2 linked regions of the Rattus norvegicus genome follow. The protein of the gene in region 2 purifies or fractionates together with the protein of the main gene of each other region. This does not show direct contact. Links are inferred from orthologs where the notes say so. Each region holds a gene or a part of one and is shown on either strand. Other genes may lie near its edges.

Region 1 (12,118 bases), on a different chromosome or scaffold from region 2:
CCTTCTCTCCAACACATAAGAGTTGGGGGAGGAGATGGGGTATCTCCAAAGGCCTCTACATTTGGGACTAAGAGCAGTGGGGGTTAGAGTCAGTTTTTCCTCCACTCCTTCCCAAACAGCAAAATTGGGGGCACACACACACACACACACACACACACACACACACACTTCCACTTTCCATAGAACAAGGACAGATCAAGAAAGAGGATACTATCCAACTCCCATCTCCCAAACCATCACTAAGGTTAAGGATATGGTCAGTGAATCAAATCAATTAAGGTGGGTGATTGGAATGTGGTGGGGGGAAGCAGAAGATGCTGGAAACAGGGATGCCCAGCCATACCATCTCCCCTGCCCTAGAGAAGGACACACAAGTTGGGGAGAGGGGAACAGGGGCTGGAGGAGGGGAGTCAGCAATCACTGATCGGCTTCTCCAAAGACATCATTCTGTTTGCGCTTCATGTTCTCAAAATCAAAGGCAGAACCAGCCATGCGTTTGTAGATATCTTTGATGTCATTGCAGGTTGTCTCAAAGTGTGTGGTAGCATCATAGGAGCAGGAACAGAACACCTGTAAATAGGCAGAACCCCAGGATTCACAGAAGTCAGGCAGAGGATCTTGGGTAGACAGCAAGAACCAGGACTGACAGGGACAGCCTTTTTACCTGACTCTCTGAACCGTCATCAATGGGCTCATATAAATCACTGATAGCCACAAACCTGAGGGGTAAATGGAAGAAAAGAAGAAGGGAAAAGTCTTATAATGGGACTTGCCCATTCCTAGTCCCCAGCCTCCCCATCAAGTTTGGCTCAGCCTCTCACTTTTGGTCAATAGGTTCCAACAGCTCCAATGCAGGCTCAACCTCCTTTTCTGGTTCTGCAGTCTCTACGGTGGTGCTGGCAATGGCGATGTATTTGCCTTGTGCGGCCACGTTGTGTGCATAGGAGATCATGCACACATAGATGTCTGACCACAGGAAGCCACTTGGTTAACATGTACCAGAGGAAATAGCCACACAAAAAGGTAGTTCCTACAGGCTAGACAGATATCTGGACCACAAGCCCCTTGCCCTCAACCAAACATGTAAACAGCATCCAAACTGTCATTCTCATGAAGAAAGTAAGTGCCCTGGCCATCCAATCCCCAGATATATTCTGTAACAAAATGTCACAAGAATCCCCAAGATTTCTTGTGAGAAGAGAGGCATAACAACAGAAGGGAGTCCCTTACAGCCTGGCCTACCTGACTTCCTGTTGACCTGATTCTGAGGGATGATAATTTGGCAGGAATTGGCATCATTGGTATTCTTGATGGGGTGGCTGAGGATGCAGATGATGCGAATAACCTGGCCAGCCTTTCGCACACGGTCTGGGATGTAGCTGGGATCACAGATCAGCTGCTTGCAGCGGGCCACCTGTGAAGGTAGCAGAAGATTTTGCACCTGTTGGATGATTCCCTTGTCCCAGGTAGTGTTAAGCTGAGCCAAAAGTAAAGCCAGACAGCTCTGAGCTGTCATCACTGTCCCTCCTGTATGTAGTACATAACCCTTTCCTTGAAGCTCAGAGAGATCAGTCCTCACATACAGGGCTAGATAACCCTATTGCTGAAACACAATGATCACAAAAACTTTTTTTTCTGTTGCCAGAAAAAAAAGTTTTTTATTTGAGAGTGTTTGGCCCAAAACTCAGCACCCAAGGCTGAAGGATAGTTGGGGGTTGAGGGATAGGCATACTATCTCAGTTGGTAGAGTGCTTGCCTATCATGCATAAAGCCCCGGGTTAGATTCCCAGCAATGCATAAACCAGGTATCTTGACACACACCTGTAATTCGGCATCAAGAAGGTGGAAGCACAAGGATTGAAAGTTCATCTTCAGTTATATACACTATTTGAGGCCAGCCTGGGATACAGGACACCCTTTCCAAAAGAATACATTCAGGAATACAAAGTATGTGACTTCTGAAGGATACCTCTTGATTAATTTAGATCCATCTGCCTTGGCCTCCCAAGTACTAGGAATACAGTTGTGTGCCACTACACCTTGTAGTTTGAAGGATATTTCTTGCCAACAGGAATAACTATGTAGAGTTTTATTGACCACCCAGGCTTTAGCTATAAGGTTCTCAGGGTTAAGAAGTAATAAGGTTCCCTAAGAACATAGCTCTGAAAAAGACCAAATCTTACCCAAACCATGGTAATACAAATGCACAGGGCAGGCTTACCTCTCCCTCAGATTTTACACCCACCACCTTGCCATTTTCCATGATGATGTCATCCACTGGTTTGTTCAGCATGTATGTTCCCCCATAGATGGCACTCAATCTGTAGTAAGAAAAATGATGGGGAAGTCTTCTCAGAAATGTGGGGACCAATTCTACTGTACCCTCCTCACCCCACCAGTGGGGTAGAGAACACAGGTATACAGAGTTTAACTCCAACTGTTTCAGGTGTCCCTCCCATAAACTTAGGGCCCATACTGACATATTCCTTCCTCTCTGGTGTTTCTGTACATATTGTTCTGCAAAGGGTCAACAGAAGGTAGCATGAAGAAGTAGCTCCACATAGAAACAGCCCAGGAGGGGTTGGGGATTAGGCTCAGTGGTAGAGCGCTTGCCTAGGAAGCGCAAGGCCCTGGGTTCGGTCCCCAGCCCCGAAAAAAAAAACAAAAACAAAAAAACAAAACAAAACAAAACAAAAACAAACCAAGAAACAGCCTAGGAGTCAAGAATAAAGAACTCTCTGTAAGAGATTCAAACTCCAGGGAAGCCCAGACACAAGGTTCCGGGGTCCTAGACTTAGTCCTGGTACTACCAAGAGCTGGGGGAAGCTATGTTCATGGTGACCTACTTCTTTACTTTGTATTTCCACCTACTTTTAAAATTATATATATATATACACACACACACATACACACATGTGTGTGTTTTGTTTACGTGTATATCTGTACACCACATGCATGCCTGGTGCTTATGAAGGCCAGATGAAGGTTATGAATTCCCTAAAACTGGAATTATAGATGGTTGTGAACTACCATGTATATTGGTATTGGAATTGAACCCGGGTCCTTGGTGTAAACAAGTGCTCTTATCTGCTGAGCCATCTCTCCAACCTCTACTCTGCACTTTAATGCACTAGGGCTATGCCCCCATTACCCAGGGATACAGTAATATACATGAAAATTAGATGGGAAAGTAGGAGATGCCACAAAAATATTCAAGGTAATTTCCATTCTTGGCCTTGTCTTACCAGTAATGCTAGCTGAAAAAGACAGATCCTCACCTGGCAAAGCCCTGAGGCAGCTCACCCAGGCCATAGAGTGGGTACAAATATGGGCTCTTGCCATACCGGGCCAGGGACTCACTGTACAACTTGATGCGGTTAATAGTCTCAAGACATGGCTGATCCAGGTAACTACGGAAAAAGAACCAGGGAATATGCTTTGATAGCAGCACCCTTGTTCATTTACAAAGACACCAGCCAGCCTTCCCACCACCCTTTGTGACCTGGCAAAGATGTGGGTCAAATGGAGAGGGATGGAAATGGAACAGGTGAGCCTGGAGCTGAGTACAAGTGACATGCAGGATGGGCAGTAGGTACAATAGGCAGGTGTGGAGAGGGTGTGAGCCAGACAAGGGGCTCCCATCACCAGCCAGCTTTCCCCTCACTCATCAGTGCGGTAGAGCGCCAGGGCATGGCCAGTGAAATCAATGACATCTTGGCCCAGGTCAAACTTCCGGTAGACATCACGCATGCTGGTGGTCTGCGGGTCAACACCCTCAAAGGTTTTGGGGTCATTCTCATCAAAGTTTGCCACAAACACCAAAAATTTTCGGAAGCGTCGTTTTTCAAACATGCCCATCAGATCTGAAAGAAAGGTATTGAAAAGATCATTTGCATTACTCGGACATAGAGCTCCTCTTTCTAACAGAGCAGGCCAGGAAAATTGGTGCCTTGGCTCCCACCAGAACTCTCTTATGCAACACTGCTCCACCTTTCTTGGTCTCAATTTTCCTATTTGTAGGAAGAGACCCTCCCAGCTCCACTTAGGGCAAGTAGGCCCTTTGACAAAAAAGAATCCTCTTCTGTGAACTTCCTTTCTGGCAACTTGCCAAGATTGGTAGCACTGTCCAATAAAGAAACTATAAAGCAAGGGGCCTCTAGGACTACACGGAGCTAAGATTAGGTTTATGCAAAGAGGAGCCTTTTGCCCAACTGTCCTGAAAACAGTTTGTCCCCTCCAGCCCCATTCTTCTGCTTAAGGAGACTCATACTCACTAGAAGCCAAGGCCTCAGTCTCAGTAGATGGCACTTTGTAGATCTTGCCCCCTTTGTATACAAAGCTGCCCTCTACCACCTTGAAGTCCAGATAACGAGTCACTTCTGTATACAGTAGCATCTTTACCAGCTGACCTGTGTCCAAAGGGAGTAAGGGTGTGTTTTCCTTCAAAAAACTCTCAGTAGTGTGACTGATCATATTCTGGAGATTGAACACCCCATACCCCATCTTCCTACTCACCACCCCCATCGCCCTTTTTAATCTCCCTCACCATTGGCCATGAGGAATTTGGGGATCAAGTCAACATTCCAGTCTCGGCCCCGGCCCATTGATTCAGGGGGCCCTTCCAGCAACTGAAAGCGCTTATATAGCTGTAAGCAGGACAGGAAAGAAAGACAAATGTCAAGGACTAGCTTCCCTTCCCCACTCTCCTGCCTGGGACCTGAGAACTACTTCCCCCCTTTACACCTATGTGGGGGACTAACAAGGGGTCTGGGTCTAAGCCCAAGTCTGAGAATAAGAAATCTTACCTCCTCAAGGGGTGTGATAGAAGAGCTCTCACCCCCATAGTAGGGGTTTCGGTCCATGTGCAACACCTTCTTTCCATTCACAGACATGATGCCAGACAGGATGCATTCCTGGGGAAAGAGTGGCATTGGCAGCTATACCTCATCTACCCTCCAATGAGCATCTCTGATTTGTCCCTGCCTCATGCCCACTACAAAATTCATAATGCAAAGTCCTACCTCTTTCCAGTGCCTAAAACTGGGGAGGGGAAGATAGCTTCATATGATGTTTCCTTTATAACCCTGCTGAGTAAACTACTAGAGCATTAAAGGAGGCTTGGGGGACAGAGCTTACAGTTCTTCTAGCATCAACAAGCCAAAAGTATCTACCTGCTCTGAGCTCACAAAAAGACAAGACAATGAGTCTACAGAAGAAACAATTCAAAGGCTCTTTGAAAGATAAGGCCAAGTCCTTGAAATCCCAGGCTCCACCCTGCTCCTCCTTTTAAGGGCAGGAGCCCCTGACTCTCTTCTGGCTGTGCATCCACTGCTCTAGGCTCAGGGTTCAAACGAAAAAAGATTTGTGCGGGGGGGGGGGGGGGCGACGGGGACACCGGACACTCTCACCAGTCACTGTCACTAACCCAAGGACAAAGGCTGAGGATATATATTCACTCTGAGGTCTCCATGGGAAACCGAATTGGGGTAGAGGGAAAGCGGTCACTAACACCCCCTCCCTACACACCACACACACACACACACACACACACACACACACACACACACTCCCTCCCTCCCTCCCTCCCGCTGTTTCTGGAACATTCCATGGGTTCCCTATCCCTCCCAAAAGGCAGAGAGGCAGGATGAGGGCCCACCCTTGAAAAGCCCCCATATCTTTATCTTCATACTCCATGCCCTAGTGTGATCACAAGATGGTAAAAGATGCTAATCAATTACTTGAGCAGGTGATGAGTGCAGGCGAAGGGTGGGGTTGGATGCAACGGGTCCAGTGTGTGTGAGGGGGGTGAGTTTTCCACCTCAGTGACACAGATAGGGAAGGTGAGGGGTCCGTGGTTAAGATCTAGGGTGCTGGAATACTGGCCAAAGTGGGGCCCTCTACGAAGAATTGCGAACTGGCATCAACACTCTAGGATGAGGTAGTGGGGTGGGCATGGGCTTTTCCAGGGCTGGAGGCAGGAACGCAATGATGGGAGGATGGGTCGGGTAACCCGGACTCTGCATCACTGCGGGGTGGGGGATGGCATGATGCAGGGCTACGAGCGCCTGAGGTGGCACTTACGGTAAGACCTGTCCCCAGCACAATCACATCGTATTCCTCATCCATGGTCAGGCCTTGGTACCAGCGCCCGCTCTTCTTCTCCTCCTCCTCCTTCACCACAGCAGCTGCTACCAATGCCTCTACTGTTGCTGTTGCTGCTGCTGCTGCTGCTGCTGCCGCTGCCGCTGCCGCCGCACTGACCCAAAGATGGCGTCTATCGGTCGTCTCCCGATCCCTACGCAGCGTCAATGAGTCCCTCTCCCTCCTCTGGCCAAGCCACGCCCAACCAAAGCCACCATTTCCTCGCTTGTTTTCTAGGAGGGGTTCTGGCACCTGGGTCCCAGCACCAGAATGATTGCAGGGGTTAACGCGGCTCTCCGTGAGCCCAGAGAAATACGGGGCGGGGCAGGCCGGCGGCAGGTGCTACGTCTAGCGAAGGATCCTTGCGCGGGAGCTGCGCGCGCCCCGCCCCGCCCCGCGCGCTCCCGTACCGCCCCTGGGAGAAACAGAAAGGCATGGAAGCCCTGCAGTGTGTTGTTGCAGCTGGCCCTAGCGCTGGGAGAGCTGCCATTGTCAGGATTCCTCCCATGGCGAGGAAAAGTAACAAGCCTCTTCTCCGGCTTGTTAAGAGTATCGGCTTACTGAAGACCCTCCCACCCTTCCTCTCTCATTTCTTGCCTGACAGGACTACATCTGAGCAGTTCTTCCCTTCAGTCAAGAACAAATCTACTTGTCCAGTGTAGAAATAAGTGGCTGGAGCCCAACACATGGCAACACGTCTTTATTTTATTAGGAATGAAACAACAGAGCACACCCCCCCCACACACACACACACATACTTCTGGCTTCTTGACAGGCAATCCTTGTGAGAACAAACCAGAAACCCAATGAGTACACTTTGTTCTCCAGTTCTCGTGGTGATTTCTTCCTTCTCAGGTCACAGAAATAAACCCCAGTGTACCGCTCATTCTTAACCCCCACCCGCCAAAAAAAAAAAAAAACCCATAAAGGCTAAGCTGGACAGTTAACTAGCCTTTCCACACCTCTCAAATTCAAGGGACCTCAAGTTCATGGCTATTGCTGGAAAGCTCCATAAAGCTTGGGGAGTGAGTATTTACTACACAAAAGCACTATAAACAGCACGAAATAATAGCAGAGGGGCAAGAATAAATAAGGAGAAAGGGAAAGGGGGGCACCCTAGAATTAAGGTCCCTTCCCCTCTTGATGAAGCCTGGAAGATTTATCTATGAAGAATAATACACTTTGTTGGTAGAAGTGGGGGATAGCCTCAGGGAAGTCCCTGTCCAGGAAAGAGGAAGCAAGACAGGCTGAGGGTGGTGTATGTAGGGTTCATGCTATAGTAGGAAGAGGACAAACCTTTCCATCCACTGTGTCACAAAATGGAAACCTAGACACCAATACTCCCTCAATCCCTCTCTGGTATATGTCACACAATCTGGGTCAAAGTGATGGTGGGGCCCTTGTGGTCATCAAAGCGATCCATGGTCTTTAGGCTGAGTATCATGTGCAGACCATAGGTGAATATGAAAAGCATGAAGAGGGTGGTGAGCAGCCCCATCCAGATGCCCGGAGAGAAGAAGCCAGCACAGTCGCTAGCATAGGAGAACTGTTCACCAGTCACATTGAAGGCTTGGATCTAGGAGATACATAGACATGGATCAGATGGGACCACAAGGTTCTACAAACAGTTCAGTGCTGGGATTCTGGAATTAATGAATAGTTATACCTTCAGAGACTATACAAGGATGGAACTCTCTCGGCTACATGCTCAAACCATGCAGAGATTCTCTGGGCCCTTTTTCCCGCCCCTTATTGCCACCAGCTTGGGGGCCCATCACCCTTTCAATACCTGGAAGTTATGAAGAGTCATCTGCCAGAGGGAGGGCACGTTGGTCACAAGGAGACTGCCTTTCTTGCTCAGACTGCTGACGTACTCACAGTGGAAAGAATAGATACTAGGTCCTGTGACTTGGGAAACATTGAAATGGGCAACCGAGCCATTGCTGTGGATTTCAAGTCGTTCCATGGTAAACCAATATCGGGCAGATACTGGGTAGAAGCGACTAGCCAGAATGAACCTGGGAGGTGGGGGTTGCAGAGATGTCAGATGAACAAAATAGAGTGAAGACATACCAGCCCAGCCAAACTTCAGCCAACAGAACTTACTTGAATGTCACTGTTGCACCAAAGAGTGGTTCATAGGTCAGTGAAAGCCTATGGGACAAGGCACAGGAGTACTGTCAGGCTCTAGAAGAACCTTAAGAAGATCCTGATCAGGTTGGCTCCAACCTAAGCAACCCTAGATCCATCCTTATAGCCAGCCAGCTGTCAATACAGTGTCCCCATTTACCATATGGGAAAACTAAGGCTCCAGTCATAACCAAATTAGGAGCAGCTGGAGCACAATTAGGTCTTACATCTCCAGCTTAGGATTCCTTACTCTGGTTTTCCTGAGTCCTGTAGGCCTCCTTCTTGGGATCATTTAGCTGCCAGCTGAGATTTCAAGGGTAGAAGACCTAGAACTGGTTTTAACAGTTGGTCTGGTATTTGCCTACATGCAGTCCAAGGGGTTGGGTTCAAAGAAGGGCCAGGGTCCCAAAGGATTGTGTGGTGTTCAGGACCCAACAACCAAGACATAAAAGCATGAGAAAGCCAAACTCCTAAGAGGATCCCTCTCCAGTAACATCCCAGCAACATCACCTGGGATACTGTGATATCCATCTCCTTGGTGAACACACCACACAAAGACCTTTCTCACCCCAAACATATATACCTATATACCTACACACACACACACACACACACACACATCCATCCCACATCCTTGTCCTGTACTGGGCTCACAGTAGCAGGAAAACCATATATGACAGGATAACCTTTTTTTCCCTTACATGGCAAAGGAGTCATTCCAGAAGGAGCCGGTCAAGTTAAGATTCTCCACACCAAAGGTGAGGGAGGTCAAGTCTTTCCATTCGTCTTTGTATGCCACAGAGAAGTTTTGTGCCCAAAACAGGATCCTTGGGGCAGTGTCATTGTAACTCACAGGAGGATGGATCGCAGGTGATGCCACCTGAGTCTGAAGCAGCTGGCGACCTAGACCCCCAGCCACCATGGCTACATCACGGGCCACCTGCAGAAACATTCAACAAGCCTTCTCTCAACAGCCCTAAAAACAAAACCTAATCCACTGGATTGGTATTCCTTCCACACTGGGTACCCTGTATACCATCTGAAAGTCCCTAGCCCTGATATTCCATCTCCCTAAACTAATAATCACACTGTCCAAGTGGCATAAACAAATTGGAAAAAAGACACTATGGATGGAGGAAGCAATCCTCTGTCCATTAATCCCCCAAACTGGAGGCTCCTGAGAGATCCTGTCTATGGCATACCCCTCCATCGCCAGTCACACTCACCACAATGCCTCTCACCCCTATCCCCCAGGGCCACCACTAGAAGAATACATACTCTAGAAGGGCGGACTGCAGTAAGAGCCGCGGTGTAAGGAACATCTTCAGACTCAAGTGTGCTCAGTACCTGTCCGATGACCTCATCTGAAGAGTGACAAGAGAACAGAGAGCCAAGTCATTGGGTAGCTTGCTTAAAGAAATACTACCCATTGTCTGCTTCAGAGACCTTCTAGACTATGAGAATTCAGTGATGTTAGTTTCCACTGAGGACCTCTAAAACAGCTATTTCTCCTTCTACACACTCTGCCAGTCTCTCTGGAGACAACTATGGTCTCTGTCATTGGCTCTCTGATGGCAAACTTAACCTAAGTAAAACAAAACTTATAGTAATATAGAGAACTCCATATCTAACTCCCTTTCCATGCACATGAACTGTTCTTTACCACAAAGATAAACCCTCCTAATTGTTTTTGCATGTTACTTGTCTATTAAATACAGAGAGACTCATTAGACTTGTGCAAAAACTAGATTTTGGGGCTCTTGCACAGGGGATCATAAGGTACTTGGACACCTCTGTCAGGTGGTGCTGGCTATAGAAGAACATATATGCAAGCAGTCAACCACTCTGAGAAACAGGAGGGCATCCTTGCAGTGAGGAGAAACCAGCTGTTTTCCTGGCCCAAGGGCAAAATGGGGACACAAATCATCCAGTAACATACTTACCATTACCTGTAAGGACCTCCCTGGGCGCCATCAGACCGGAGCTATGGATAAAAAAAGTGAGAGGCCCACAGGTTGCTCTGTTCTCAAATACAAACAGCTTGCCTGGAACAGTTCTCTGAAACTCACTACTTTTTTCTTAGCCCTTCCAGCATCTCCCTTCCCAGTAGTCCCACTTACTAAGCCTGTGGCCTTCACCTGTTGCTCTGACAGTTACGCAGAGGCTTAGCTCAACAGCAGCTATCCCCACCTCCGCAGCTCTATTTGCTTCAGTACCCCTGCCTGGAATCCCATTCCCTTTTCTGGTCTTTGTAAGTATGTCCACAGTCCTATAAAGTGGGCATTGTTGGTGAAGAAGTTTTCTCTAAGTAGGAACAATGTCAGTCTCATCTCTGGAGGCCCAATAGACCTAACTCAGTGGTGGATACTTTTAAGTCACAACCTCTTCTTGGCATACAAGGAACTTGCTGTAAGAGTCTTAAGGTGGTGAATAGGGATACTGTCACCTTTGACTGAACTCTGCCACCAACAGAGCTCAGGATCTTACCCCTATCTGAGGTGCAAGGCTAGGGGCTGGAGGCCTTGCCACCTAGGCTGTACCTGGCTGTGTAGGGCAGACGGATGAGCAGCAGGGCAGGAAGGCTGGCATTGAGCTTCAGCTCCTTTAGGGTAGCTAGATCCACATGCAAGGGACTAGCCCCAAGCTTCTCCTGTAGGTAGGTGGTCAGAGTGCTGATTGCATACCAGTCCACAGCAGGAAGTACCAGTGAGGAGGGGGCCAAGTCCAGGGCATTCTGATGGTAAGGAAGACGTGGAAGGCAAAGTGAGCCAGGGATCAGTGGACCTTATAATAATCTCTTAAAGCCTCACCTGGAAAGCCACACCCCATAGGGATTAGATTTCACAACAGGTCAGAAAGTAAATGTCCCACATCTCCAGGCCTAGACAGTCACATCCCAAGCCCTCTACCCTCAAAGCCTCTGGCCCTCTCTCTGGGAGAGAGAGCACAGAATGTATTATCTTTCCTTTGGCTGTGAGTAGACCCTTACCTCCAGGTTAGAAAAGGCACTGTCCTGTTTATTTCCAAACACACCACCGTATGCTGTGAAATCCTCAATGCTTAGCTAAAAGGGAAGCAGAAGAGATGTCTTAGGAGGCTACACAAAGAACAAGGGGCCAGAACATGAAGGGGCGAATTCTCAGGGATAACAAAAGAGTGAACCATCAGGACTTGTGGTGTGAGTGAGTGGAAGACTTATTCTTTCTCCCCAGCACTCTGATGGCATGACGACAAGATATAGAAAGTAGCCATAGGGTTGGGAGATTTATGGACAGCTAGTTTTGATAACCTACAAAACAAGGGTCAGACAGCAAGAAGAGCTGGGGAGGAAGAGGGAAGTTAGAGAAGAGGAAGAGGACAACAAAGGATATTTACTGCATGTCTCCTAAGAGGGAAGTAGAAGGCAGAGCCAATGAACTTCTATACAGTCTGGGCAGGATCCTTTTCAAAGGAAGAAGTCCTTGCCCTACCATTGTTGGTGGGAGTTAGGAGAGAGGAAGATATTGGAACACAATGGAGGAAGCAGACTTCTGATCTCTCAGGACCTTGGTAATGCCAATCTCATGCCCTTCTCTCTACTGTCTAAAAGTGTTTTATTCCTCCTTCCCTCAACCCCCAGCTAGCTTCCTCTGGCTTCTCCCAGTTAGGCCCAGAGGCAGTCTTAACCAGCTTCCCTAAACTCATTGTGTTTAGTATACATAATCCCAGCCTCCTTTCCTAGCCTCCTCTTCTAGATTCTGTGCTACGTACGCAAGGCTTTCCTACCTTTAGACCAACCGAAACTCTTGTGGCATTTCCTCCATCTCTATGTGACCTAGCAGATCATCTCCTAACCTTTCAATCACAT
Region 2 (12,296 bases):
TCATAGTTTTTGGATGTATAGGACCGTGAGTTCTTTTGGTGATGTTGGGACTCAAAGCCAAGTGACCTGGGTTTTGACAAGTATGTACGGTTATATACCTAGCCGTCATTACAATGAAGATACAGGCTATTTCCCTCAAACCAAAGACATGCATCCTTTGCGTCTCTTTTCAGACGATCCCTTCCTCCCACTCCTCATGCCTAGCAGTCTCTAAAGGCCATATCCTTTACGTGTATTTTTGTACTTTTCCCCAGAGGCCTTGTCTGTATTCTCAGAATTTTCTAACTGAATGGTAATCTCCTTAAAGACAAAGAGTTGTAGTCATTCAATTTTATATTGTTTAAGCATATATTTCAAGTACAGCTGGGTGGGCATGGTAGGGCATGCTAGAAATCACAGAACACGGAGCTCAGGGGAGTTCGAAGCTATCCTCGACTACACAGTGAATTTGAGGCCAGCCTGAGTTCCATGAGAACCTATCTCAAAATAGCAAAGCACACCTACCCTTCCTTCTCTCCCCAAACCCAGATCAAGGTCTACATACATTTATTATGTACCGGGTCATATACACCTGAAAAAGAGTGGAAACAAGAGAGAAAAGGGAGAGAGGAAAGGGGGGACAGCCAGAAGGGCTGGAGAGGATCAGCAGGTGAAGGTGCTTGCTGCCAGGACTGGTGTTCCGAGCTAAATCTCAGAAGCCGTCTGTTGAGACAGTGAAGCCCTGAGACTTGGTCTCGGCCCTTCTCACATGTGTGCCCTGACAGGTACCTCCGTACACCCACACATTTCTGTCCTCGTGTGTGCCCTGACATGTACACCCCCCACCCCTGTATACCCACACAGGTAAATAAATAAATGATAAATAAATGTGAATGAGGAGGAGGAGGCGGCTCTGGAGAGATAGCTCAGGGGTTAACAGTAATCGCTGCTCTTGCAGATGATGAGAATTCTATCCAAGGACCCTCTGTAACTTTAGCTCCAGGGGATGCAATGCTGTCTTCTGGTCTCCCCTGGGTGCCAGCACACATGTGTGAATACCTACACACAGACACATACACACATATATAAATATAAATCTTTTTTCCTTTTTCCCTTTTAAAGGCAGAGCTACCTAGGAGGGCCTTTCTGCTGTCTCTGTCATGCTGAGACTCAAAGCCAAGCTTCACTCGTGTTGTGTCTGTGCTCAGCTGCAGATCAGACCTCCACCCTCCAGAAAGGCTCTCCCTCAACCTCAGGGCAGTCAGAAGAGCGTGTAGTGTTTCAGTGAATCATTCTGAGATTGTAGGCAAATTCTGTCTTTGAGTGAGTTTCACATGAGCTTAGGTTAGAACTCACTGTGTGGCTCAGACTCTCCTCAGATTCCCACCCATGCACCTGTCTCAGCCTTTCCAGTGCTAGGGTTGCAAACGAGAGCCACCAGTGTTTGGATTGCTTTGAGTTTTTTTTTTTTTTTTTTTTTTTTTTTTTTGGTTCTTTTTTTCCCGGAGCTGGGGACCGAACCCAGGGCCTTGCCCTTCCTAGGCAAGCGCTCTACCACTGAGCTAAATCCCCAACCCCTGCTTTGAGTTTTTAATCTGAACTATTGGCCAAAGGGTAAACATGAAATATAATAAGTTCGCACCAGCAAAATTCGTTACCTACCGGTAACGTTTGGGGGTTGGGGAGATGGCTTGGTGGGTAAAGTGTTGCATATGCACTTTACCGGAGGACCCTTCGTCCCATGTGAAAGCCGGTGATACACATCTTATGCACTTGTGCTGGAGCATAGATGGAAGGATCCAGGAGCTCAATGGCCAACTGGAGATCGAGCTCCAGGTTCAGTGAGAGACCTGGTCTCAGAAAGCAAGGTGGAGAGTGGCAGAGGAAGGAAGGCATGTGCGGTTGACCTTTAGCCTTTATACAGGGACACATGGTCACACGTAATGCTGGCAGACACATATATATGCCTACATAAGAAATGGGGGGAGGAGAGGGAGAGAGGGAGGAAGAAAGAGATTATTTTAAGATACATCTAAGAGTTGGGAGTAGTGGCACAGGAACTTGATCCCAACACTTGGAAGGCAGAAACAGCTGGAGCTCTGTGAGTTCAAGGCCAGTGTGGTCAGGGAGCAGGACAGCCAGAGCCACACAGTGAGATCCTGTCTGGGAAGGCAGGAAGTATACTATTATTATTGTTATTGTTATTGTTATTATTATTATTATTTCTTTTTTTGAATGTTTTACCTGTATGAATGTATGTATGTATGTACACCACCTAGAGGCCAGGAAAAGTGCTTTACTATAAAACTAGTGTTATAGATGGTTGTGAGCCACCATGTGGTTGCTGGGATTTGAACTCAGGACCTCCGGAAGAGGAGTCAGTGCTCTTGACCACTGAGCCATCTCTCCAGCCCAAGGAACCTTAATATCAATAACACCTATGTTGCAGTAGGATATAGGAAGCTGGCACTCACTAATCCACAGCCATGATGGCTTGGGGGGTTACTAGAAGATGATTTGTTGGGAAGTTAAATAGTTAATGAAAGAAAGTTGAGCAAATTTACCTCTGAGGAGGCAGACAGATAAAAAAAATGGAGTTTTGGTGGTAGCCTCTCTGTATGGTGGTAGTGCACTCTGTAGTGCTTTCTTTCTGAGAGTCTGCTTTCCTTAACCTTCATGCTTAAGCCTATATTAAAGATTTATTTATTTCATGTATGTGGGTACACTGTCGCTGACTTCAGAAGAGGGCATCAGATCCCATTACAGATGGTTGTGAGCCACCATGTGGTTGCTGGGATTTGAACTCAGGACCTCTGGAAGAGCAGTCAGTGCTCTTAACCACTGAGCCATCTCTCCAGCCCTTAAGCCTATATTAAAATACCGCCACTAAAACCCCAGCTTGGGTTGGAGAGATGGCTCATCTGGTGAGGACATTTTTTGTTCTTGTTGAGGACCCATGCTCAGTTCCCAGCATCTATCACACTGTAACTCAAGATTCAGAGTATCAAATGCCCTATTCTGGCTTTTGAGGCCAAGAGGCACATGCATGGAACACATACATACATACATACATACATACATACATACATACATGCAGGCAGGCAAGACATTCATATACATAAAATTAAAATTAAATGATAGATTTGGGGGTGGGTATTGAGACAGAAGTTCACTGTGTAGCTCTGTCCTAGAACTTACTATGTAGAACAGGCTGGCCTCAAACTCACAGAGAAGCACCTGTCTCTGCCTCCCAAGGGCAGGAATGAAAGGCATTGCTTCACTCTGTCTGGCTTAAATGATAAATCACAGAAAAAAAAAAACAACAATAACAACAAGATCTTTGCTTGAAAAATTGAGTTTGGGGACACTTCGGAGTTTTTATTCTGTGAAATGATAGGAGGACATATCTAAACATGTGTGGTGCTTCATTCATCCGTCTAGGGTTATTTCAGAAGTTAACACAGAAAAGAGCCATATAGGATGGGCATGATGGCCCCAGCACTCAGGAGGCAGAGGCTAGTGAACCTCTGAGTTTGAGGCTGGCCTGGTCTATAGAGGGAGTTCCAGGACAGCCAGGGCTACACAGAGAAACCCTGTCTCAAAATACCAAAAACCACAACGATAACAAAAAAAACCAAAACCCCCAAAACCTATCTATGTATGGTCTGATGAGGCTGTCAAGTCACATGGAGGAAGTCCAGAGGGATGTGTAAAATATACTGAGTATATGGTTAGAGATGAGAACAGCCTCTTTTGCTTATTTTTGTGTCACTGAAATTCAGAAATTAAAAGTAAATCCGCAGTTGGAGATAATATTCTTGCTTAGAACAAGTTGGAAGATAAACTTTGGACAGTGTATTATATTATGCCCTTTGGAATAAATAACCCAAGATAATGTGTTAAAGTTTAGTGGAGATTTAAATTCCTGAGCTGATTAAAGTTAAGGTCTGAAAAATGTATTAATATTAGTTCTGGAGTCCAGAATGAGTTTCCTGGCTTAAAAAGACACTTATTATTACCCAATGTTACAGACGGACACAGAATTTAACTAATAAAAAACAAACAGCAGCAGCACCAACAGCAAAACAAACAAACAACCCCCAAAACTTAACAAACCAACCCAACCCCAAAAACCAATTCAACTTTAAGGCCTCAAGTAGAAAGACTAGGTTAAGGTTCATTTTAGCCTGAGTCTCAAAAGCACAATGCAGAGCCTTCAAAGGTTGGGAGGTCTAGATGGAGGAGCAGTTTCAGACAGGTAAATCTGATTGCGTGTGCAAATGGACGGGGGCAGAAGAGAGACTGGAGCAGGGTCCATTTGCAGCTATTTCAACATCAAGTTGCTAGAGTAAAACGGTAAAAACAAAAAAAAAAAATCAGAAAAGGAGTCGGGTGAGTGTGAAAGCCCAAGGCTACACAGGCCACCTGACTTTCCTTTTGTCCTTAGAGCAGCCCCAGACTCTGATGGGGTTGGCCACTGCGTTCTTGCCAGAGCAGAACTCGTCAAGTTGTCCCCACCCCGCCTCATTCGCGTCCCAGCGTTCCTGGGAGCCCCCTCCCCCTCGGCTGCGGCACCTCCCTCCGCCCGGTTCCTTCCTCCTCCCCCTCCCCGTGGGGCACTGACTCGCCCTGCTGCCACGTCTCACTGATGACATCAACACAGTCCGCTCGACCTTAGCCAATCCGCTAGGGGGAGTCCGAGCGAAGTCCTAGCCAGCAGGCCAGCGGGGAGGGGAGCAGGAAGGGCGGGGTGTGGGGGTGAGGGAATCGGGACGGGGCGGGCGACAAGCTCGCAAGGGCGCATGCGTAGAGGACGTGGGGCCTAGTGGGAAGCCGAGTGCAGGCTGCCCTCGGCCTCGTCAGGCTGCCCAGCGCGCGGAGTGCTCACGACTCTCTTTCCCAGCGTGCCCCGCGACGCTGCCGCCCTCTGGGCCGCGACAGGCCCCTTGGCCTAGGCTTCCCCAGTTCCTGGTTCGCCGGCGGCCATTTTGGGTGGAAGCGATCACTGAGTGGCGGCGGCTGCTGATTGTGTTCTAAGGGTCGGAGTGGGGTCGACGTTTGCTCTACCGGAACAGCTTAGCTCATTCCTCCCCTTCCTTTACCCGTGGCGCGGAGGCTTGGGGCGGCGGCTGCGTCAGCAAGGGCGGTGGCGGCGGCGGCAGCTGCAGTGACATGTCCAGCATGAATCCCGAATAGTGAGTGCAGGAGAGCCGGGGCGGGCCGGGGTGAGGGCGTCCAGCTGGGGTGAGGGCCGCCTGGAGGCTCGCTGCGCAGCACTCGGAAGGTCGACCAGGCGAACGAGACGGAGCAGCCCGAGGGCCCCATTGTCTGATGGCCGAGGGCCGCAGCGGGGAGGGGTCGGGCCTCCGGGCCGGGTCCGGGGCGCAGCCGGCGGGGAGCTAGGTGCCGCGGCCGGGCGTTGGGGAGTGGGCCTCGGACAGCGGCCAGGAAGGGCGCGTCCCTGGAGGCAGTGACGGCTGGAGGAGGACTTGTTTTTAAGGGGAGGTAGGTGGGAGAGTTCTGCTAGAGGGCACTGTCAGACCCTGCGCCGGCTCTGCGGAGCTGTCAGCGTCGACAGGGAGGAAACCAGCTTTACTTGTAAATCCTGAGCTTGTTAGAGCTCTCTCACGGTTGGATTTCTGGTAATATGGATGCTTCTTGGGACTGCGTGGGCTTGAGGGGAATGAGGAGATGGCGAGAAGCTATTTACAATGTTTAGTTTCCTTTAGGGCTTGTCTCCTGGAAGAGTTGTGTAAGAATTGTGAGATGTGACCCTTCTAAAATCCTGAACATTTGTGAAATTTTTGTTTTAGGGGGACACATGAGTCTCTCAGTCACCTTTTGTTTCCGGTAGGTTAACAACATCAACAAAACTGAACTAAAAATAAACTAGAAACGTCTTCCTGGCACCACCAAATTAAAGTACAAGTTTGCAGACAATTTTGAAAAGAAACTAATGGGGCCTTTGATGATAGAACTGTAGGTTTTAGATTACCTGGTTGAATGCCTGTAGATAGGGAATGAGGTTCCATGACGTGTCATGAAAAGTTAATGCATTCCTTTTTCTTGCTTACTCAAGAAGTCACTCTAGCAGATGTGACACACCTGGCACCTTCATGGGAACTGCTCTTGTCTTTTCTTGGATAGATATTGTTGGGCTCTCTCTTTGACCCTAAAATTCTCCTCTGGCTTCCATATATGAAAATAACTCGAAGAGATGTCATTTTTATTATACTTTAGTGTCAGAAATCTTTAAGGGAGAGGGATTTTTTTGTTTGTTTGTTTTGTTTTTTTTTTTTAATAAGAGAAATCAATACTGCCCTAAAACCTGGGCTTATTTGTTGCTTTGGTCAGTCCCCGCTAAGTGTGTCCCCAGGAAAGGTCCATCCATCAGCTCAGCTGACTTGTCATGTGTGTGTCACATGGCTCTTGCAAAAGACATTCTAAGTTCAAGTTTTCTAAGGCTGGTTTAATACTGAAATGTGCTTTTTCATTTGGGTTAAGCAGAAGTCTTGGTATCTTGGTAGAACTTTACATACTTTATTTTTATTGTGACACATGTGATTGCAGGTGCACAGGTGCCACTTTGTTTGCGGCAGAGGTCGGGACAGATTTTGGGAGCTTGTTCTTTCTCCCTTTGTGGGTGGCTTCAGGGAACTGAACTCAGATAAGCACTTTATCCACAGAGCTCTGTGGTTGACCCAGGCTTTTGTATTTCTTTAAGAAGTTGGGAACAGTTCATATGGTGACACACTTACTGTGGTGGCAGCCCCTCTCCCAGCACAAAATCAGTTTAGGGAATGAGGTTCCATGACATGTCATGAAAAGTTATTGGGATTCCTAGTTAGATTTTAGGGAAACAGAGAAGAACATGGATTTGTTAGGAAGGTTTCTAATTTCTATTTGAGAAGATTCCTATATTTGTTACATATGTATTTAAATATTTTTATTCTTCTCAAATTTCCTAATGCTATGACCCTTCAATACAATTCATGTTGGGGTGACCCCTACCCATGGCATTTTCATGTCTATTTCATAACGGTAATATTGCTATCGTTATGAATCATAATGTAAATATCTGATAACGCAGGATATCTGGTATGTGACTCCTGTGAAAGGGTCCTTTGACCCCCATCAAAGGAGTTGCCACTCACAGGTTGAGGACTGCTGGGTTAGAGACATCCCCTGGCACTGGAGTTAGAGTACTTGTGACCAGCTGATGTGGGTGCTGGGAATGGAGTTAGAGTTTTCTCCAAGAAGAGAAATATTCTTCACTACTAAGCGATCTCTCCAGCCCTTGTTATATGTATCTTTTAAAAAGATTTATTTATTTATTTTATGTACCGCATTCTTATATTTTTAAATACTGTAAGAGATTTAACTATAAATGACCAAAGTTAGATGTTACTTAGACTATTTCTCTTTTTATAAAGTAGTACAAGAGACAGTCATTTTTACTACCTATTAAGGTAGTAGTGTGTCCATGAGTATGTAAAAAGGACAGCTATCCAGATCATGTTGTAAACAGTATAAATCATTTTAAAGCAAGCTAGGACTTAGGAGTGTAAACCTTAACCTCAAGGGGCCTGTAACATAACATAACATACAAAATAGGTTCTATACATGTCAGATACTAGGAGATAGAGCATGCAGATGTGCAGCATGGGTCAGGACAGTGTGACTTTAGGGCAGAGTCACTTGTTCTGGTTGGCTGTTGGGTTTTGGAAGACTGTTCTAGAAGAGACATGTAAGGTAGTTCAGCAGAGGAAGCCATCTGCCACCTTTATGAGTTCCATCCTTGGGACCTATATGGTGGAAGGAGAGAACTGGCACCTGCAGGTTGTTCTTTTCATGTGTGTCCCTCCCCCAATAATCTAAACAAATAATTTTAGAGAGCAAAACGTGCTCTCTAAAAAAGGAGAGTTATTAGCACAGAAGTGAGGCAGGGGAGATTTTTCTGGAGGAAATGGAAGAGGAATGGCTAATAAATAGCAAGGCTAATAACTCTTTTTGTGTTTTGTGATGTCGTCCTGGCTCTCCTGAAACACCCTTTGTAAATGAGGCTGACTTTGTATTTGCAGCAGTCTTCCTGTTTCTGCCTCCCAAGTGCTGACATTACAGATAGGAGTCACCGTGCCCTGAATGGACAGTGCTTTAGTCATTCTTCCTGAGTTCTCAAGCATGCCAGTATCTGGCTTATATTTGCATTCTAGACTGTGTAGTAAATTGACCAGGAGTTTGAGGAAAGGATTTATGAAACTTGCTCAAGATTAGAGGTGATGATAGATATTTTATTACTATTTTAAGTGCAAGCATATATTAACTAAGAGTAATGTCTGAGGCACTTGCATTTAACTGACAGTGTGATGTGAACTGTGTGGTAAAGTATATGGAAAGGGCCAAAACTTTTTTTTTTTTTTTCTGGAGATCTGGAAGACAGCTTTGACATTTTACACTTATTGTATGTTTGGAGAGGGGGCACGTGACTGCTACAGTGAATGGGTGGAGGTCAGAGGGCAGCTTGCAGGATCAGTTCTCTCTGGCTACTATGCAGGTTCTGGGGTGGTAACTGTCTTTAGTCATGGCTATAGGCACTGAGATATGCTGCTGGCCCAAGATTTGATTTTCAGAGCTAGGGAGTGAAGCAGGCAGTGATTATTCCAACACACTGATTGAAGATGCTAAACAGAGCCAGGAGTGGAGGAGCCTGTGCTCTGAGCACTTGAGGCAGGGCAGGAGGCTCACTGAAGGTTCAAGACCACCCCAGTCTATATTAGAGAATTCTAGACTGTCAACGGTGACATAGGGATTTTGTCTCAAAAGAGAGATAGACAGATATAAATACAGACTTGATACTAATTAACCTCATACAAGAAGTAGTTGTCATAATCTATTAGCTTCTAGGGAAGTTTTATTTATTTTTTATCATGAGACAAATTATCAAGGATCCCAACCTGGCCTCAAGCTCACTTTATACCTGAGGATGACCTTCAGCTTCTGATCTTCTGTCTCTGCCTGCTGAGTGCTGAGATTTGAATCTATAGCTTTGCGTGTTAAAGCTATCCAGCATCCTACAGCTGAGCTCTAACACAGACCTTAAGCTTTGTGTGTGCATGTGTGTTCTCATGTATGTATGAGTGTTGTATGTATGAGCATGTATGAGTGTTGGGTGTATGTGTACGAATGCCTGCATGCATTTGGTGGTCAAAGGCCAACCTTGGGTTTCATTCCTTAGGAGCTTTCCATTTAATTTTTACCTTTTATTATTTTCATTTTGTGTTTTTGAGTGTTTCCCCCTTATTGTGTACATGCAGTGTCCAAGAGGTCAGAAGAGGCAGTCATCTGAATTACAGATTGTTTGGGCTTGCATGTGGTTGCTGGGAACCACACTAGGATCTTCTGGAAGGACAACCAGTGTTCTTAACCAGTGAGCCACTTGTCCAGCCCCTGTTTATTTATTTTCTTGAGACAAGGTTTCTCACTGGGATATGGGGTTCACAGAAATGGCTAGGTTGGCCAGCCAGCTAGCGTCAGGGATCTTCCTTTGTCTACTTCCCTGGTGCTGAGATGATAACAGGTATGGGACACCACACCAGTTTTGTTTTGTTTTGTTTTTTAAATGAAGTGGATGCTTTCTAACTCTGGTCCCCATGCTTGTCAGACACACAAGCATCTCCTAAGCCACCAAAGTTTAAAGAATTTTTAATAGAGCCAGGTGGTGGCGCAAGACTTTAATCCCAGTGCTTGAAAAATTTATATTTATTACTCTGTGTGTGTGTGTGTGTGTGTAAGACAGTCTGTGAGAGTAAGTTCATGTGGGCCCTAAGGATTGAGCTGAAGTCTCATGATTGTTTATTAGTTAAGGTGACAAAGTAGCACGGCACGGTGGCTCATCATATGATTCCAGTACTTGGGAGGTTGAAGCAGGAGGATTGCCTGAGGTTTGAGGCCAGGCTGGCCTACATAGTGAATTTTTTTTTTTTTTTTTTTTTTGGTTCTTTTTTTTTCGGAGCTGGGGACCGAACCCAGGGCCTTGCGCTTCCTAGGTAAGCGCTCTACCACTGAGCTAAATCCCCAGCCCCCATAGTGAATTTAAAAAGCTAAACCAAACCAAACCTCACTGTGTAGATGGGAATGACTGAATACCCATTTCCCAGATGCTCTGATTAAAAGTGAGCAACCTTCTCTGGGGTTGGGCAGAGCAGTTTAATGACAGTGATCTTTTCTTCCTATTCCTCCTTCACTTTAAAATGAGACTCCAGATTTCCTGAAAATGTTAGCAGTCTTTTACACTTTTATGCTTTTCTGAAATAGAGCTGTTTCAATTAAGTGCCTTTCCCTTTTAAGTGTTTGATAATAAAATTGGACTAATCAGTTATCTGTCTGACAGTGTATTAATATCATTCCTGGCTTTCATGTAGTTTTCACTGCTTTTTACTGTTTTGTTTGTGAGTGTGTATGTGGCTGGTAGTCAAATCCAGTACTTGCACATGCCAGGCAGATGGCCCCTGTCATTCTCTCCTCCTCCTTGTAGAACAATTGGAAGAAAGGTGATTTGGGTCCTTACTGTGAGGAATGTGATTTTAGTGTCCGAAGCATCATGTCTGTGGTTGTCAGGTAGACAGGCAGCTTTTGGAACCTTTACTAAATGTTCAGGCTGCAAATCTCAGTACCCAGGAGAGTCAGGAGTTTAAAGCCAGTCTTGATTCCAGGGCAGCTTGGCCTACAGATTTGTCTCAGAGAAAAGTCGGAAAGGACAGAAAACCAAAACCTGAGTGCCATTATGTGAGCTATTTTAGATGTGACTTACTTTTTATTACCCTGTCTGAATTTCACATTGGAGTGTCTTAGTAAGAGACATTGGTAAATTGCTCCCTCTGCCTTTTAAAGAGAAAGGAGTGGTCTGCCTGTTGTTTTCCTGTAGAAGTTGGGGCTGAAATTGCTGCTTTGGTACTATAATATGATTAATTTTTTTTAAAAATTGATATTTATGTTTATGGGTGTTTTTCCTTCTTATTTGTCTGCACCTAATGGATGCCTGGTGTCAGAAGAGCTAGAAAAGGGACTTGAATTCCCTGGAATTGGAATTATGGGAATTGAACCTGGATCCTCTGGAACATTCTGCATCTAGTGCTCTTAAATGCTGGGCTATCTCTTCAGCACCCCTAGAATATAATTTAAAGGAAAAAACCCTGCTTTTTGTTGCCAACATTGATTGAATTTATGGTCTCCAAATGCATCCCCCCAACCCTAAAATTTTTAAATTTAAGCCAGATAACATTTAGATAAACATCTACTTTAAAATTCATGGAAAATTTTTTATCACACACACACACACACACACACACACTTTTAAAAAGCCTTATTTTTATTTCATGTGTATTGGTACATGCATGTCTGTAGGAAGGTGTCATCTGCCGAAGCTGGAGTTAGAGGTGGTGGTGACTTCCTGTGGGTGCTGTGACTTGAACTGAGCCCTCTGTGAGAGTGCAGGCAGTGAGGCATGCCCAGCCCGACACACGTGCTTTCAGACTGGGGGCTTTACTAGACCGTTTTCCATGCTAGGCATATACTCTGCCACTGAACTTTTCTCTTTTGTATTTCAACACTTGGTCAAAAGGGGAGTTCAGGTTGGCCTTGAACTCGCTCTGTAGCTGGGTAGGCCTTGAACTTGTGATACTCCTGTTTTAGCTTTCCAGTTAACTTGAGATTAAATGCCTGCCACCAGACTCCAACAGAGAGATTTAAAAACAGAGAGAGGCTGTTTTGAGTAGGGACTAATGACATGTTCCTGTACTCCTAGAGTAGGCAGGGGAACCTTGGGAGTCTTAGGTACACAGTTCTGACAAGAGGGTTTGTGAAGTTTACATGGTGGTCCATGCCTGTAATTGTAGGCTACTGAGAAGGCTAAGGTAGAATTGTAAATTCCAGTTCTAAACTTAAAATGCAGAGATGGCCGCAGTCATGGAATACGACATCTATAGTTGGGTCTAGGTGGCCTTTGATCTCTTAAATACTGTGTCTGTCTTGCTTTTCTCTTTCTTGTCTATTGCATGTTTTTTATTGGGACCTTAGAAGTTGTGAAGTCTTTCTGAGAGTGAAAAGCCATGGAAGCCATTAGCATTTTTGAACTCCTGGAGCAGCTATGAGTACTTATGTAAGACCTTCCCAAGATTGAACCATTGGCTTCCTGTCATGGATCAGCAAGGGCTTCTCCCTCCCAACACAGCCTTCCCTGAGAGTCTTCCGGAGCTGTTTGCTGGGGGAAGGAGATTCATTTTCCTCAGTGGTGTAGCCACTGACGAGGTGCCTGTGCT

What was found.
Region 1: the proteins of Rab1a (region 2) and Gdi1 purify together in Homo sapiens (affinity purification with mass spectrometry; 7 studies listed by BioGRID and IntAct, counting the BioPlex papers as one, with this or other methods). This does not show direct contact. The link is inferred for Rattus norvegicus from reciprocal best matches to the Homo sapiens genes RAB1A and GDI1.

The regions. Positions count from the first base shown.
Region 1 is NC_086039.1:157,233,032-157,245,149, reverse strand, and holds the start of Gdi1 (rab GDP dissociation inhibitor alpha), read right to left. Parts: upstream 6,251-12,118; 5' UTR 6,127-6,250; coding exon 6,082-6,126; intron 4,914-6,081; coding exon 4,806-4,913; intron 4,647-4,805; coding exon 4,547-4,646; intron 4,410-4,546; coding exon 4,275-4,409; intron 3,864-4,274; coding exon 3,665-3,863; intron 3,411-3,664; coding exon 3,279-3,410; intron 2,322-3,278; coding exon 2,222-2,321; intron 1,415-2,221; coding exon 1,243-1,414; intron 967-1,242; coding exon 822-966; intron 720-821; coding exon 665-719; intron 571-664; coding exon 418-570; 3' UTR 1-417. Other genes in the region: Atp6ap1 (V-type proton ATPase subunit S1 precursor), read right to left, coding at 7,508-7,717, 7,931-8,159, 8,248-8,295, 8,973-9,211, 9,550-9,635, 10,215-10,255, 10,812-11,005, 11,261-11,335. UniProt on the Homo sapiens protein: Regulates the GDP/GTP exchange reaction of most Rab proteins by inhibiting the dissociation of GDP from them, and the subsequent binding of GTP to them. Promotes the dissociation of GDP-bound Rab proteins from the membrane and inhibits their activation.
Region 2 is NC_086032.1:98,618,703-98,630,998, forward strand, and holds the start of Rab1a (ras-related protein Rab-1A), read left to right. Parts: upstream 1-4,974; 5' UTR 4,975-5,151; coding exon 5,152-5,174; intron 5,175-12,296. UniProt on the Homo sapiens protein: The small GTPases Rab are key regulators of intracellular membrane trafficking, from the formation of transport vesicles to their fusion with membranes.